Tribolium castaneum: one gene and its partner. The protein of the gene in region 2 interacts with the protein of the main gene of each other region in a biochemical or structural test. Links are inferred from orthologs where the notes say so. Each region holds a gene or a part of one and is shown on either strand. Other genes may lie near its edges.

Region 1 (4,142 bases), on a different chromosome or scaffold from region 2:
ATTTCAAGCGTACAAAGTGCCCCCTTGGACATGCATACGCCCTACTTTTACAAGAACAGAGAACGCTCGATTCAAAAGCGACTGGACGAGATTCGAGACAAGTGGAAGAACATTGAATTAAGGACGAAGTTATCGCGCGCTTGGGACTTACATTCGCACGAAAATTCTGTGATTGAGGCCGCGGTGCCTAAATCTGACCATATTTTTGATGTGATAATGTGCATTGGGCGACCTGTGCTCGCTAAAATTTTCGAAAGACTGGTGCAAAATTTTAAGGTTTACCAAAGTGGGTTTCCCGACTTGATTGTGTGGAATGTTGAGGAGGGAAGGGCGAAATTTGTCGAAGTTAAGGGGGAAAATGATAAACTCTCAATTAAGCAGAAGTTGTGGTTGAACTATTTGTGTGATAGCGGGGCTTCTGTGGAAGTTTGTAGAGTTGAACGTGAGTATAAATCTGTACTGGGGGTTGTGAGTCATTTTGTGTTTTTTAGCCAAAGCCACGAAAAAACAGTTTAAGAGAAGTGTCGCCGCAGCGTGCCATTAGATATTAAAGACTTATATTTTTATACGTTCTTATACCGATTTATTATGTAATTTATCTTAAGTGTATTTTATGTTTTTGAGTTTTGAGAATTAACGTATTTGTTATTTTTTAATAAAGAATTGTTGAACTTTTTGTTGTTTCTCTTGCCTCTTCTTGGGATTTTTTGACTCAAGGGTTTCGATCTGTTTAAAAGATAAGTACTAAGTTAGTAAGTGCAGACAAGTATAAGTATAATATAAAATATATTTTTCCATCCTTTAAATATCCCATGAAAGCGTTATATTCTCACGAAAGAAAAAAAAAACTCAAAAAATTAAGGAATTTGTAACAACTAAATAACTTCAAAAATTCTATGGAACCCCATATTTTTTGTTTTTGCTTCCCAGAGATTATTAACAGTCTTTCTAAAAACAGAAAATTCAAATGTGTAAAGTTATTATGAATTTGCACTAGATTGCCACAAAATTTTGTTAGGACCAGGTAAAAGTGCTTCAAAAAATCAGCTGCTATCTCCTTTACAACCTAAATCTTATCAATTAACATACAATAAAGGAAACGTTAGAAAGGTTTTCTTTGTATATTCCCTATTTGAGTACATGTGGAGGAAGGCTTTGAGGAGTAATTTTTCTGGAGTAAACTGTTGCGACTCCGGGCATAGTGCAGTTGCTGCTGTGCAGATGGCGCAGCCCCGGAAGAAGTAGTCCTCCACCAGCGCAGTTCCGAGCACCACGCAGAAGTGCTGTTGTCGGGCAAGCGCGTTCCATGATGTCAATATGCTCATGTATTTGTGTTTATATTTCCTAAAAGAAAACATGGATGTTTTTAAATGAAAAGATACTCTTCATGTCCGCGCGTGTGTCTCTCAGTTGTAATTCTGTTAAGTTTGCATAGTGCGAATGCCGGAAGGCTTCCCTCCAACACCCTCACGACCACTGTTATGATGCAGTCAAGGGATGAAGTTTTTTAATGGGATATGCCATTAATCTGATTGTTGTAAGTTCTGTTCATCATTTATTTTCCTCGTGGTAATGCATTGTTGGGTAAAGAGCGGGAGTTCTTAAGAAAATTGTCAGGGACACAAAGTCCAGCTTTAGTTGATTGAAAGTCATAGCACATCTTGAACATCTGACGATTTAACACCAGCACGTTACACATGGTACATATCACATTTTATTTGACCCCAAGTTTCATTTTTTACTTCAGTAGAATTCTTGATCGCTATTTATGTTTGGCTGTCATAAAGGAATTGTAAACATAATTTTCTACTTGTTTATCATTCCATTCATTCATTGATGAAGCGGATTCATCCTGGATGTCACAAGATAAACCTAACGGTCAGATTGATACTAACTTGGGAATAAATACTTATTGGCACTCTTTGAGTTACATAACGGTGCAAGTACAGTAAAATGTGCAATTTTGTGCTGCGTTTTTGCCATAAGTTTCAAGAAAGTAACATTACATTTAAATGTTGAAACGGTTTTAATAATAAGATACCGAATTCGGAACAATAGCAGGATCGTTGGGTTTTTTCTTCTTTCTCCTAATGACTCACACAATCTTGTGGTTGGTTGTAACACTAGTTATTGAATTGAATGAACTCAAGGAGTACAACAAAACATACGTAAAAGGTCAACGGTCTCATACTAATATCCAATGTACGAAGTAAAAGTCGAGGTAAAAGTAAATCTTGTTTACATTTTTTCGGTTCAGTGGAGTGTTTAAATATTAGGTGCATAGACCATTAACTACGTTTAAATGAGACTTTAGTTACTCTAAAGTGTCTTAATGACTTATTTCTTTGAAAAGTTGATTACATCTTTACTGTAGTACCTAAATATCGAGGTAAATATCTACATGTTTGGAGCTTAGGAAGGTGTAACGTTCACATTATCAACAATACATTCTTTGGAATATAAATTGTTGCCATTACGAATGATTATGATACAACTGTAGCATTATTTGCATAGAAATTATTACAACAGTAATTTATTTTTAATGTTAATGTAAACAACCTATCCTCGAACCTATCTTATTACCCGGGAAATTAATATCTTTATTAGGTCTGGGAATTATTGTCCACAGGTTGATTTATCGACATTTTTTGCTCCACGTATTAATTTTTCTTATTTATGGAAAGTACGCTATGTATCATATTTATTTTTATAGTCAGTGATTCGTTTAGAGACCTTGATTGTATGGATAGATCATGATTCTATAAATATTTGAGTATATTTTTTTCTAATTATTTTATTTGCTAAAATTATGTTAGTTACCATTGATTGACTTACTACGTAATATCCAAAAGTTATAACGATTGTCTTTTGGAATTTCTTTCCTAAAGTTATTTTTAAAAGTTAGAGTTCAACTTTGCTAAACTCCAGTAAATTTCAGTTTTCACAAAAATTTGAAATTATTTTTTATTTGTTGTCTAAGAATTTAACAAAATTGTTGTCGGTTGCGTTTTATTGTCTCGTACATGTCTTCGGCTATCGAAAATGTGATGGGAGCATGTGGGAATTCTCGGCTTCCCATATGCCATCTGTTTTTTCGTTTTTTGGGTGGTGATATTGTAAATTGTTTTCTTTTCTACATCGTCAAAAGAGTTTTTACTTGTCGGGAAACCCGGATGAAATAATAAGGTACGTTACAGTTTTGAACCCAAATTATAGTAAGAACGTATTAATTACCGGATTTCTATTTCCAATTTGTTATTTTTTGTACTACCATCTCAAACCAGTTTTTCAATCAACAATTACCTTACGCTACAATGGGGCTAATTAACCTATTGCAAATTGATTATGGGGATTATGCAATTCTTCGTTCTGGTCTCATTATACGTGGGTATAAAGCCATTGGAGGTAATGCAGGCAACGAAGCTTTATTAGCAGATATTGAAATATCCATAGGTAAACAGAGCACTATTGCGTGCGACACTTTGAAGTTTGAATAACACTACCTGAATTTGCATACTGCAATAGAGAATAAATATTCTGCCACTGCATTTTAATTGCTTTTAATGGCCGAACCAATTTTAACACAAACAAAGGCAGTAACGGTTTTATGGGAACCGAAGACTTATTTTTTTAATGCAGCGCTAAGCTATTAAAACATTGATTATTATTAAAAGGGCTAGAAACTAATAACGTAAGAACATAATTCAAGCTTCGTTTAGAAACAGAGTTAATGGTTTTCTTTATTTAGGGGATTGGGCGCCTATTTAGAAAAGTTGGAATTTTTTATTAGCTTAATCAGCTGGGAGTTTGGTGAAACAGGATTTGTGGAATTACGTGATTTGTGTTAAGTATATTCTAATGAATTTACCAATTAGGGAACGTTCCAATATTCGAGCTCTCATTGAACCGATTATGATAATCTGTTAATTCCCCCGACTTGTATTCTTGCTACGTTTCGTGTTAATAAAGACAGTCTTTTACTTTTCTTCCAAGTTTTAATAATTCTTCGACTGGAAGGAAAACTTTGCTGTACATTTTGTTTTCTGCACATTCAGATGCAAATCAGTCTTGACGATGAGTGATTTTTTTCGCCCAGTTCAAGTTACTTTATAAGCGAACATATAAAAAGACTGGGTACCATC
Region 2 (4,122 bases):
CTGCATCTACAACAGCGAAAAGTATTTTTCCCGACTCTTGAAACACCAACTCAATCACTGTTGCAGGTCCAACGAACGGAACGGATTTAACAACGTCGAGGATTATTTACTAGTGAGTATTTTTGCTACTTTGGTTGAGTGTTGGATCCGTTCTTTAACAACTCAATCAATGGTTTTAAAATCGACACTATTGGAAGGTTTCAGGTCCAGAGAGATTATCAAATGTTACTGAACACAATGCGTTACCACAAGCAAATTCAGAAGGAGGCGGCGCCAGTGAAGCTACTGCAGCGGTAGATTTGTCGGAAATGAGCACCGAGCTGTAACTCATACTCTAGCGATCCAAATAATTTCATGTAATTTTATTATGACATTAAATTATAATATCACCGGGCGTTTTTTGTTGCGAGACCCGAATAATGATCTCTTTAATCTGCACAATTTCCATCCAAGGGCTGCTCTAATGTGAGCGCAGGGCTGGAACGATTTTATCCGATTTTCTTCGCCGATTTACGGGACAAGCCTTCTGCTTTGTTTATTCTGAATTAGGCCCGGCATTCGCCGAAAAATCCGCGTTTAATTATTAAAGCAGCGGCCCCAACTTGTTGAACTGTTATTGTTAGCAATGCAAATGGTTCAAGGTGTATACATGGTTGTATACCTGGGCGTTGCCGGGTTTAACTACCCACACAAGAATTTTACGGCGAGCTTACTGTTACGGCCCTGACTCTGGCTTTAAGGCGACATAAAAAATCAGCTATATTATTTTTTACACGCGGAACTTGCAAAATTGGTTTTTAATCTCGTTGCGAAGCAGGTGCCGCAAACAAGCTTAGAAATTCAAATGTGCCCCAACTTTCGAATTGTGCAAAAGCTGGCCAATTGTTTATTTCCGGATCTTGTGGAATGGTTTACGCATAGCTCGGGGACAGGCGTATAATCATGCATAAATAAAAATATTGACACAGGCAGACAACGCTTAAATCGATATAAACAAGATTAGTCGGGTTTAATAATCGCCGGTGTGCCCCCATCTCTATGGCGAAGATTTTGAATTTTTATGGTATGCAAATGGTGGAGTTAGCATTTGGTGTCATTTCTGGCGTTTAGTGCGCCGGGCTCGGGGGCTGGGGGGGCGCCCTTCCGGGGGCGGTTTCGGCCCCGGTGAAAAAAGCGTTCTTTGTGAAAATTTGCCATTTCTGAAGAAGGAGAGCAAAGTTTTGGAATATTTAGCACAAACGCCCATGAATAACAGGTGAGCGCATGCGCAGGGGGCACAGTCGGGCCAGGGTGGGGTGTACGGCTAGCTTCAGTTTTTGAACAAGTCTAATAACGCGGTTGTTGTGTTGAAGGGTGTTTCGTTGCTGGGTAAAGTTGGTGATACCGGTATTGTGTTCAATTCTAAGTAATACTGGCCAAATGGTAGAGACTGGGCGACTGAAACCGGGGCTATAGCTGAGTTTGGACCGCCAGCAGAGTGCACGTCGAAGCTTAGAGCGATATTGTGGACGGGACTGATCCTAACCTAAATAGTTTCCACAGATGCAGTGAAGTTCAGACCAGTATGTTGTCCACCTAGAGCTCCGGTCGTGGATGAGACAAGTGCACGGCGGTTGTGAGACACCCGTGTCGTGATTTCGGGTCCGAACTGTGGATGTAACCTTAAAGTGTAATGTGTGTAAGTGGGTTGCACTGAGTTTCACTTCCTATGGGAAATGGACACTATATAGGTAAATGGAGTGTAATTGCATTAACTAAGTGCTATCGTCAAATCGCCAGGCTATGTAAAGTGCGGGGCACATTTGTTGGTGCTGCTGGTCACCAGCTGCATTCCGTGACTTGGTCCAGACTGAACCCAGCATCCGTTTACTTGCAATTCCGTAATATTTTGGCCGTATTTATCGATTTCCCCCGTCACGACACTTTACTCGTCCCATTCACCAAACCGAAACTGTCTTACGTCCTCAAATGGACCATCTCGCGCAAAACGGTCCGATTGACACATCCGTGTGATTAAATTCTTAAAGATTGTAAACATATGTTTCATTTAACCGGAGTCCCCTCCCCTGGATTGTACTATTCACCGGCAAATGTGACTGTACTCATTCTTTGTCATTCATCCAAGTACACTCCCGGCAACAACCAACCCACTGTGGACCCGGTTACCCTATGACAGATGCAATCATCACTTTTCCTTACATTTCACACATTTCCAAACACACCTCTGTTGTTTTCATTGCATTAGCGCGCGTTGCCCAAATCCATTTTTGGCCAAACTACACAAATAATCAATTAAATTGTTGCATTGCATTTAGCCGGCAGAAATTGCTATTTGGACTGGCGGGCCAAATGCAACATTTTTCTTCCACACGAAATGCTACACCGAAAGCCATTTAACGACCAAATCATGGGGAAAAACAATCCTACATTTTTAATCAGCCTCAAAAACACGAAAACTGTTTCGGCTTTCGAAAATTACCAGGGCGTTTTTTCGTAAGATATAACTGGAATTATCGCTTATGACCGTTGTGGCTACGGTTTTAACGAAAAACAAACCAAATTTAAGAAAACACATGACTGAGATATTGAACAGAGAATTCTAATGTACGCTAACCTGTAAACACAACAAAGTATTTGGACAAGAACGACATTCCAGCTTGCATGAAGGATTTGCATGCGTTGCTGTGTTTTGACTTTTGTTATTATGTTTAAACCAAAAACGAAAAAGTAATACCTATCTACAATGTAAACAATAAAGGTTGGTAAAAGTCCGGGGAATCTCATGCAATAACGCTAACACTGGTCAACATGTTTTTTTTTAATATCTAGTACGTCTTTTTTATGCCAAATTGGCTATCACGTCAGGCCTCGGAAAACAATCATTAGGCAAATATTTGTATAAAAATATATTAAATTTCACTGTATGTGCGCGTAATTTCTTTATTACTACGAGTAAAAACGAAGAATCATGTTAAGTGACATATTTAAACCTGTTTAAGACGCTGGTTAAACTAAAAGGGCATTGCTATGCCGTTTGCTAAACCTATGGTTTGGCGTGCACAAAAGAACCATTCAAGAAATTATTAATTGTAACTTTTGTTTCACCAAAACCTTTCAAAATGTTCTGACAAGATCAGAAAAAGGAAAACTTTTTAAATAAGCGCAACAATGTACATGGATTAATATAATTAATTTACTTAGTTTTTATTGTTATTGTTTTATTGTTATTATCTTTCATTTAAAAAATAATTTTGATATATACAGTGAAACCTCCCATAACGGACACCTCTTCACAACGGACAATTAAAGGTTTTTTATCGGTGTCCGTTGTTGAGAGGTTTTACTGTAATTTATATTATAAACAAATTTTGTTGTCCACTGCAATTAGTTCTGATTGTAGAGGTTTTGCTGTATTTTTTATTTAGCACATAAAGAGCGCTATTTGCTTAATGTTGGTTATCTTTTTTTCGTCTTACGTATGTGTTTTTGATATATATTTTAAACCAATATACACGTAATATCGTTTTTTTATAGTTTGGCTTTTTCGTTTTCAATTCGCGTTTGTTATAACCATCTAATTTCACAATGCTAAGTGTAGAAAAGAAGACGGTTTTTGAAAGATATAAAGTATATATTTCTACTGTGTTATAAACTTATACATATCGTTCGATTTAAGCTGGATCGTAATAATTATGTCTACTGTAGTCAAATATAAGTTAGTTACACAGTACAATGAAGCTTCTTATGTGATAACCCAGTAACCATTAAACTTAATCCAGAGTTTTTTGGATTTTTTTTACCTTCTATAACATCAAAAATTAAATAAAATAAAAATGTTAGCGAAAATTACACGGAGAGTTTTTTTCTTCTGATCTTGTCTTATTTTATCAGAAGTGATTGTATTTAAAAATATTTACGAAATAAGTCAACAACAGTATAACTGTATTTTATTTTTTTATAACTTTTTTATTTAATTTTTGTAATTATCAGAACGCATTTTTTTGGAAAATTACCGCTAACAAAGACATGAATTTTATGCGTTACTTTAAACTCACGTCTAGATGTGCTTTGCAGTTTAATGCAGAAAACGAAACACTGTGCAGACTTGAAAACATGAATGGT

What was found.
Region 1: the proteins of PlexA (region 2) and Sema1a form a complex in vitro, tested with the Drosophila melanogaster proteins (2 studies listed by BioGRID). The link is inferred for Tribolium castaneum from reciprocal best matches to the Drosophila melanogaster genes PlexA and Sema1a.

The regions. Positions count from the first base shown.
Region 1 is NC_087396.1:10,643,107-10,647,248, forward strand, and holds the start of Sema1a (semaphorin-1A), read left to right. Parts: upstream 1-1,304; 5' UTR 1,305-1,537; intron 1,538-4,142. Other genes in the region: fanconi-associated nuclease 1, read left to right, coding at 1-442, 492-544. UniProt on the Drosophila melanogaster protein: Involved in growth cone guidance through its role in axonal repulsion. Function in neurons is essential for adult survival, motor neuron survival, and is important for climbing behavior and activity.
Region 2 is NC_087403.1:8,409,986-8,414,107, reverse strand, and holds the start of PlexA (plexin-A2), read left to right. Parts: upstream 1-1,293; 5' UTR 1,294-1,730; intron 1,731-4,122. Other genes in the region: band 4.1-like protein 4, read left to right, coding at 1-21, 67-112, 198-326.